Daphnia pulex: one gene and its partner. The protein of the gene in region 1 binds, or shares a complex with, the protein of each later gene. Links are inferred from orthologs where the notes say so. Each region holds a gene or a part of one and is shown in the gene's direction. Other genes may lie near its edges. The genes, in order: corepressor interacting with RBPJ 1-like and histone deacetylase 3-like.

The links.
Region 2: corepressor interacting with RBPJ 1-like (region 1) and histone deacetylase 3-like share a complex: the UniProt entries of both Homo sapiens proteins name them as parts of the notch corepressor complex. The link is inferred for Daphnia pulex from reciprocal best matches to the Homo sapiens genes CIRSR and HDAC3.

The regions. Positions count from the first base shown.
Region 1 is NC_060018.1:10,168,676-10,172,486, reverse strand, and holds corepressor interacting with RBPJ 1-like, read left to right. Parts: upstream 1-1,537; 5' UTR 1,538-1,629; exon of another isoform or gene 1,630-1,633; intron 1,634-1,698; 5' UTR 1,699-1,783; coding exon 1,784-1,855; intron 1,856-1,938; coding exon 1,939-2,033; intron 2,034-2,101; coding exon 2,102-2,352; intron 2,353-2,423; coding exon 2,424-2,584; intron 2,585-2,658; coding exon 2,659-2,750; intron 2,751-2,819; coding exon 2,820-3,207; 3' UTR 3,208-3,289; downstream 3,290-3,811. UniProt on the Homo sapiens protein: May modulate splice site selection during alternative splicing of pre-mRNAs. Regulates transcription and acts as corepressor for RBPJ. Recruits RBPJ to the Sin3-histone deacetylase complex (HDAC). Required for RBPJ-mediated repression of transcription.
Region 2 is NC_060018.1:1,203,415-1,207,342, reverse strand, and holds histone deacetylase 3-like, read left to right. Parts: upstream 1-1,464; 5' UTR 1,465-1,552; coding exon 1,553-1,619; intron 1,620-1,682; coding exon 1,683-1,806; intron 1,807-1,949; coding exon 1,950-2,051; intron 2,052-2,125; coding exon 2,126-2,320; intron 2,321-2,381; coding exon 2,382-2,515; intron 2,516-2,584; coding exon 2,585-2,697; intron 2,698-2,759; coding exon 2,760-2,866; intron 2,867-2,931; coding exon 2,932-3,080; intron 3,081-3,149; coding exon 3,150-3,291; intron 3,292-3,351; coding exon 3,352-3,450; intron 3,451-3,521; coding exon 3,522-3,594; 3' UTR 3,595-3,646; downstream 3,647-3,928. Other genes in the region: 40S ribosomal protein S15Aa, read right to left, coding at 496-589, 650-815, 876-1,008; protein SET-like, read right to left, coding at 3,765-3,928. UniProt on the Homo sapiens protein: Histone deacetylase that catalyzes the deacetylation of lysine residues on the N-terminal part of the core histones (H2A, H2B, H3 and H4), and some other non-histone substrates.

The DNA.
Region 1 (3,811 bases):
GGTCCGCCATTCAGTCGAAGCCGCGTCTTTTCTTCTTCCAACTTGGACAAGACCACAACTTCTCCTTCATGATCATGATGTTTGATTTTGGCCTACCCCTTGAATAGTCGATCGATTGCTTCATTCACTGCTGCGCCCCATCGCACAAAAGTAAAAAAATGTGTTTATCTTAGAGTTGTTTTGGTTTCTAATTCCCCTCCCCCCTTAAAAAAGTGACCCGCCAGTGAAGGAGAACATGACAGTGTACAGGACACATTTCAGGTCTGACCTCTCTTCCTACTGTTATAGTTGGGAGCCGACAAAGTTTAGTTCAAAATTGCCATTATAGCAAATTTGAAAACATACCCCATTTCGTTGTTGACTGTCACTTCCGACTATCACTCGTTCATACAAAGCAAGAACACATATTTTTGGAAAGAAATATTTCCAGCAATGTGTTTACAAGTTTAAAATAAATAATTTCGCAGATGATTGGAAAGGCAATTAGCAAAAAAAAAATAATAATAACAAAACCAAAAACGTTTGAATAATAATTTTTAAGCGTTGGTTGGTTTTTATGGCTCGCGAATATCAATCGTTGTTTAGGCATTAGTATTAACGTTCTCTTAAATATGGATTCTTTCTTCGAGTCAAAGATATAATAAACAGCGGAAGTTTTGACCGCCAGCCAGGAGTGGGGGAGGGATATATCATTAGCATTTTTCTGCAAGAATTTACCTGGATCGACTGAAAGAGGGATAGAAAGTTCCGGATTCGTATATGCAGAGAAACCTAAAAAAAATGATCTATTCAGCCTTCAACACATTTCTTGATTGATTATTCTGATAGGTTCTGCTTATTTGTATTTTTAAAACGGGCAGAAACTTTTCACACCTTCTCCTATACTGAAAATATAATCACAGCACAGCGATAAACAACCATTAAGTCCTCGTCCTCGTTTAGTAGACGTATAGGCGCATTTTAGTACACTAGCTACCGGAAGCTCATATCCCTGCAGAACTTTCAGATAATAAAGGAGAGTACGATTTTTATGGCTCCAAGGGAGCAGAGGAAGTTTTGCAGTAAATTCAATATTTAATGCGGTTTGATTTAGTGCAATCATAATTATGTGTGTTTTCTTATTTCTACCTTTTCCCTTGATTTCTCGACTTACGAATCGTTTAATGTCGTTCCAAGATGAAGCAGATTTAATACGAATTCGTGGCTATCAGGTGGCTGTGGATTTATTAAGATGAGAAACATCAAAATACTGCAGACAAGTGAAAAAAGATAAAGAAAGAAGAAACATAAGTACAAAAATCAAGTAAATTATTTAAAAAAAATAAATTTATAAAATTGGAAGGATTAATTTGCTATGGTAACTTATCTTTATTCTGATCATCAATCGAGATTTCGGATTACATTACCATTTATTTTTTTATCGTTTATTTTTAAATTAATTTTGTTGAACTTATACGCAGACGTGGACGTCTGGACGAGCGTTGGATGTATCATACGTCATCTAGCGATCAGAGTTTAAAGTGGATAAGAAAGGTTAACCTGGGAAAAATTCAAAAAATGTGGCAACATCGCGTTTCGCGTTTGTTTTTACTTGTAAACCGTTGTAGACGAAGACTTGATCGTATCATCGTAGGTTGACGCAACTGATTTGTGTGTTCTAAATTTTTGGAAAATTCTGACTTACTTTTTACTTTATAGTGATTCATTTGATCTATTGTATCCTTTTGGCTTTGAGTACCCTCCATTTTATCCAGCGGCGCTACGAATTTGAGGAAGCTGAAAAATGGGCAAAGGATTCAATAACTACATGTGCAAGAAGTTCTTTCACCCTGGATCTCGAGATAACTTGAAAAGGGTATGTCCGACCGTGTGTCAGTTTAAGATCAGTTGTAGAATATGTAATTTACTGTGTAAACTATTTGAATCATACATTTTTAGGTCTGGATGGCTCAACAAAAGACGGATGCAGAGAAGAAAAAGCAGGAAGAGTTGAAAGCTCAGTATGAAAAAGAACAAGATTTATACGTCAACAAGTAAATCCACAACAAAAAATTTAAATATAATATCATTTATATTAACTGATACTTTTTTAAAAATTCAGATCACTTGTCAGCAAGGAAAGCAAGGAGAAGCTGAGTGTCAATTTTCTGTATGAACCACCACCAGGAATGAAGAAAGAAAGAGAAAAAGAAGATGGGGAACCAGAATTCAAGTTTGAGTGGCAGAGAAAATATAATGCTCCACGTGAAGATTATTGTCGTGGTGATGAGGACATCAGGGACCAACCTTTTGGTATTGCTGTCAGAAATGTTCGTTGTATCAAATGTCACAAATGGGGACACGTAAACACAGGTAATATTTAATGTAACTGTGTCATTAAATTTTTTTTTTAATATTTCAAGATTGATTATTTGAACATGTAGACAGGGAATGCCCTTTGTTCAACAAGGCTAGAGATGCCTTTGATGAAGCCATTGCAGCTGCTGATCCTTCTGAGAAGTTGATGAATGATATGAAGGAAACTGGTTTGGCTATGACCAAAAGTGCTATTAGTACTTTAGAGCAAATGGCGGTTCCAATGCAGGTAATAAGTGCAATGCAAACCTGTATTTATTCATTTGTTCTGAGTTCTGACAGTGCTTGTCTTTTGAATTTTAGAAACAATTATCCAAGTCTGAGGAGGAGCCTGCAGCAGAAGAATTGACATTTCTGAAAACTTTATCAACCAAAGAAAAGAAGAAACTACTTAAGTATGTGCTTTACTCATCACAAATTCTCGTGTTAAATATATCTATAAAGTTTAATGGTTCATGAATTAGGAAGCTGGAAAAACTGGAAGACAAGGAAAAAGGGAAAAAGAAGAAGAAGAAGAGAAAGAATGAAAAGAGAGAAAATAGAAGTCCACCTCCATTGACAGCATCTTCTTCACGGGTTCTAAAACTAAGAAGCAGAAGTCCACTTCCATTGACAGCATCTTCGTCGCGGAATGAGAGACGCCGAAGTAGAAGTCCGTCTCGGTTGACAGCATCTTCCTCCAGGGAGGATGGCAAAGGTTACAGAAAAGTCCATCAAAGCGATGGCAGCCGTAGTCCCAAACGGCCTCGTAGCCGTGATAGACGATCGCGATCCAGAGAAAAAGAACATCGAGAAAAGAGAAGACACGAAGAATCTGACGAAAGAATGAAGAGGAAAAAATACAGAGACTAAATTTTTTCAGTTGCAGTTCGCTGTATTTTTTAAACTTTTGGAATTGATTGTATTCCGATCTAATAAAGATTAAACAACCTCATTGATTTCAATGTTTTTGCTATTTTGTTAGGTATTTAACTTTGACTGTTGATGATTATTTATACTTTGATAAGAAAACCCGTTCAATGAAGATACTTAAAGAGAAGAAGCCGTGCAAGTAAAATTTTTTTTTATTTGATCGCGTTTTTAATTTTCACGTTAAAGTTTTTGATACTTTTGTAGTAACTCCTTAAGCGGTTTATAGCGGCCTTATGTTTATAGTACAGTCATTTTAGCATTTTAACCCAAAACAAATTGTTAAAAGTGATTTTTTAATGAGCTTTATTTATACCTATGTTTTCTTACTCTTTTTAAAACCCGCCCAAGAAAAAATAAAGTGATCATATTTAAAAAAAAATGTGTTTAAAAATTTACCTTATGCTAAATGGTGTTTTTTAATTAAAAATTTGGTATTTTAAAATTCAGGGTTAAAGAGAATTGCAAAATTAACTTAAGTTCCAATTTTGGTTTAATTTCAATGTAACTTAGTATTACAAAAAAAGTAAAATCTATTGAAAAATCG
Region 2 (3,928 bases), about 9.0 Mb from region 1:
ACTTACCTTATCATTTATTTGCTCACGTCACGAGTTCAGTGCAAAGTTTATGGCCGATCATTTCCAGTTTCTTTCCTGAACACCTTACATTTTCTGTGTAATGAATGACTAACTTTAATTCGTCCATTAGTGAACATAGCAACGCTAGACATAAATGCAATGATCTTAACTATATTGTGAACCACTTCCACATTCACTTGCATTGGACATCCTAGTAGCAAACCAAAAAAAAAAAAGAAAACCTAACCAACCCATCAAGCACTTGATCTGTAGTCCCAGAAAAACACATTGTTTTCGATTTATAACACTAATGAAACTTATTAATTAAATAATGAAGAACCTTACCACACAGCCAAAATTAACCTCAGCTGGAGCATTCTCACCACTAACAGTCCTCTTAACAAGAGAATTGATTTTGGATATGTGGTAAGGTATGCAAATATGATCTTCCAGAATGTGTATTGACCATCATGTGTATCAAGGCAGCCAACAGTTTCAGAAGAAGAATCCCAGAATCTTTCCTCCTACATGTTTCCTCTTGGCTTCTTCATGATCCATGATTCCAGCTGATGTGGTCATAACAACATACCTGAACAAAATATCTTGATATAGTTAACTAAACAACATTTGTGCTAGTAGCTTTACATACCCAAACTGGCGAGAAGGCAGCAAGTCATTTGACCATTTCTCAATGTCCCTGATAGGTACATCAAAACGAGGAGAGATGACACCACACTTGTTCAGACGTCCTGTCAGATTGACCACAATCTTTCCGGCACGGTGATCATCAACGATTTCGAATTCACCGATGTAACCTAGGCGAAAGAATCATCATTTAGAACATATTATAATTACATATTTTCGTCCACGTTTACCATGTTTCATCATGACCGTCAAAAACTTCACGATAACTTTGGAGCACGGCCGAATGAGGACCTGGCGTTTGCCTCGCTTTTCTGCGTTGTTGATGCTTTTCAAGGCATCGGCCAAAACGTTCATGCGCACCATTTTGATATAAAATCACACCTAAATAAAGGAGAAGACCGGTTGAAGTTAGTTGTCATTAAGGATTCACAAACCAACACTTTCAACGAAAGCAGTAAAACTTTATAATAAATTACAGCAACAAAATAGAAAGAGACGATTCAAAATTATTACTATCAATGGAAGATGAAAATAATTTTCACTCGATATAAATGGATGAAATAAAAATTACCTGGCTTCCAAGAGGGAACGAAGGGGCGCTCACACACAAGTGAAAGAGAAGAAGTTGTTCCACGGCAAAGCTCGACGAGATTTTGTTGCCAGATTGCAAAGTGTCATCTGAATTCTCTTATTATTTTTTAAAGGAAAAATTATATTTTATTATCGTGCTCCAAATCTTTATTTAAATTTTATAATTTTGTATATTTACATGATTTAATATGATTTATTAATAGAACCATTTATTTTAGTAAAAAAAGTTGCAAAATTATTGTTTCATCAGTCTGCCACTAGGAGTGGAACGAAAATAAGTAAAAAAAAAAAATCCTGTGATTACAAACAAACAAATATGGGATTTGGAGCTAATAAAGTTGTTTCTTATTTTCATGATCAAGATGTTGGAAATTTTCATTATGGTATGATCTTTCTTAGTCCAAAGTTCGAACAAGTGATCATGTAGTTTTTTAATGTTTTCACAGGACCACTCCATCCGATGAAACCACAAAGGTTGGCAGTAACCCACAGCTTGGTTTTACACTATGGAATGTATAAAAAAATGCAAGTTTACAGACCTTACCGAGCATCAGCCCATGACATGTGCAGGTAACTTTGAAAATTAGTTACTTTTAAGACAACTGTTCTATTTACTCCCTTTCACAAAATGATTGATCAACAAAACAACAAGTGTCAACATAAAAAATGGATTTGACATGAAATAATGTAAAATTTGTACTCTGTTAACACAGGTTTCACTCAGAAGACTATATTGAATTCCTACAAAGGGTTTCTCCACAAAATATTCAAGCATTTAGTAAATGTTTGGGTCAGTTTAATGTTGGTGATGACTGGTAATTAAGATATATACATATATATATTTTTTTTAGGATAATCTTTACAACCTTATCTTACTTATTACTTACAGTCCTGTTTTTGATGGACTATTTGATTTCTGTTCAATGTACACTGGAGCCTCACTGGAAGGGGCCACCAAATTAAATCATGGAAGCACAGACATTGCAATCAATTGGTCTGGAGGACTTCACCATGCTAAAAAATTTGAAGCTTCTGGGTTTTGTTATGTAAATGATATAGTGATTGCTATATTGGAACTTTTGAAGTAAGATTGCACATAATATCCAAGGTTACCACTTAAAAAAGATGCCTGGTTTTCTATATAGATATCACCCTCGTGTTCTGTACATTGACATCGATATTCATCACGGGGATGGTGTTCAAGAGGCCTTTTACTTGACTGATCGAGTGATGACTGTTTCTTTTCACAAATATGGAAACTATTTCTTTCCTGGAACAGGTCTTTTTCAAAATGTCTAGAACTAACTTAAACAGAATTGATCAAGCAATATTTTAACTAATTAATTAGGAGACATGTATGAAATTGGAGCAGAATGTGGTCGCTACTATTCCGTGAACATCCCTCTAAAAGAGGGCATTGATGATCAAAGTTACCTTCAAGTTTTCAAACCAGTTATTCAGGTACACAGATTTTCACTGGCATTGAAAGAAAGGAAACATTTTATTTTAATTTTTTTCTCCAGTATGTGATGGAGTTTTACCAGCCCACTGCAATCGTTCTTCAGTGCGGAGCTGATTCATTAGCCAATGATCGGTTGGGATGCTTCAATCTCAGTACAAAAGGACATGGGTACTCTAGTTATTCCACGATTCAGCTTTTAAAGCGATTGATTAACTTTCATTCGATTTTTTCAGAGAATGTGTAAAATTTGTAAAAGATTTCAACGTTCCTTTGCTTGTACTTGGAGGTGGAGGATACACTTTAAGGAATGTTGCTAGATGCTGGACGTACGAAACTTCGTTACTAGTTGACGAAGGCATCAGTAACGAACTACCTTACAATGGTAAATAACATAACTTGAATTGATTTGGTTTATTTGTTCTCTAAAATGAATTTTACCTTTTTGGTTTAGAATATTTCGAGTACTTTGCTCCCGATTTCTCGCTACATCCCGACGTTGTAACGCGCCAAGAAAACGCGAATAGTAAACAATATTTGGAAACCATTACTAAAACTATCCATGAGAATTTAAGGATGATAGAACACGCTCCTAGGTATAAATACATATCCGTATCCAAATTCATCTTATAACGAATGTTTTAATTTCTATGCAGTGTAATGATGCAAGACGTTCCACCTGACCTTTTAAATTTCGAGGAAGCGGAAGAGTTAGATCCTGATGTTCGTCTGCATCAGCAAGAAGAGGATAAAAGGTAAGCTCCTCCTAAAATGTGAAATGCTAGAATATTATTACTAATTACTTTGTATGTTTCAACATTCACAGGATAGAGCCAGATAATGAATACTATGACGGAGAGAAAGACCAAGATAAAGATGGCACGACAGCCGATTCCTAAAACTTCCAATCCAAATTTCACCTCGTGGAATAAATGCCATCTTAAATTGTTACCGATTTTCTTTTATTTAAAAAAAGGCATTGCTCATTCTCAGTCTGACTCGCATCTTTTCGGCACATTGACATACAATACAAAGTTTTGGATCGACGCAAAAAAACGGCATCACATGATTAATCAGTGTCGTAATTTGAATCTCCCTCGTCAACTTCCCCACCTTCTTCATCCTCTTCGTCTTCTTCATCGTCAACATCGCCATCATCATCGCCTTCCTCTGAAAGGGCTTCAGGCATCATGAAGAACTGGAGGGGATTCGGCCAAATTTCATCCTTCAGAA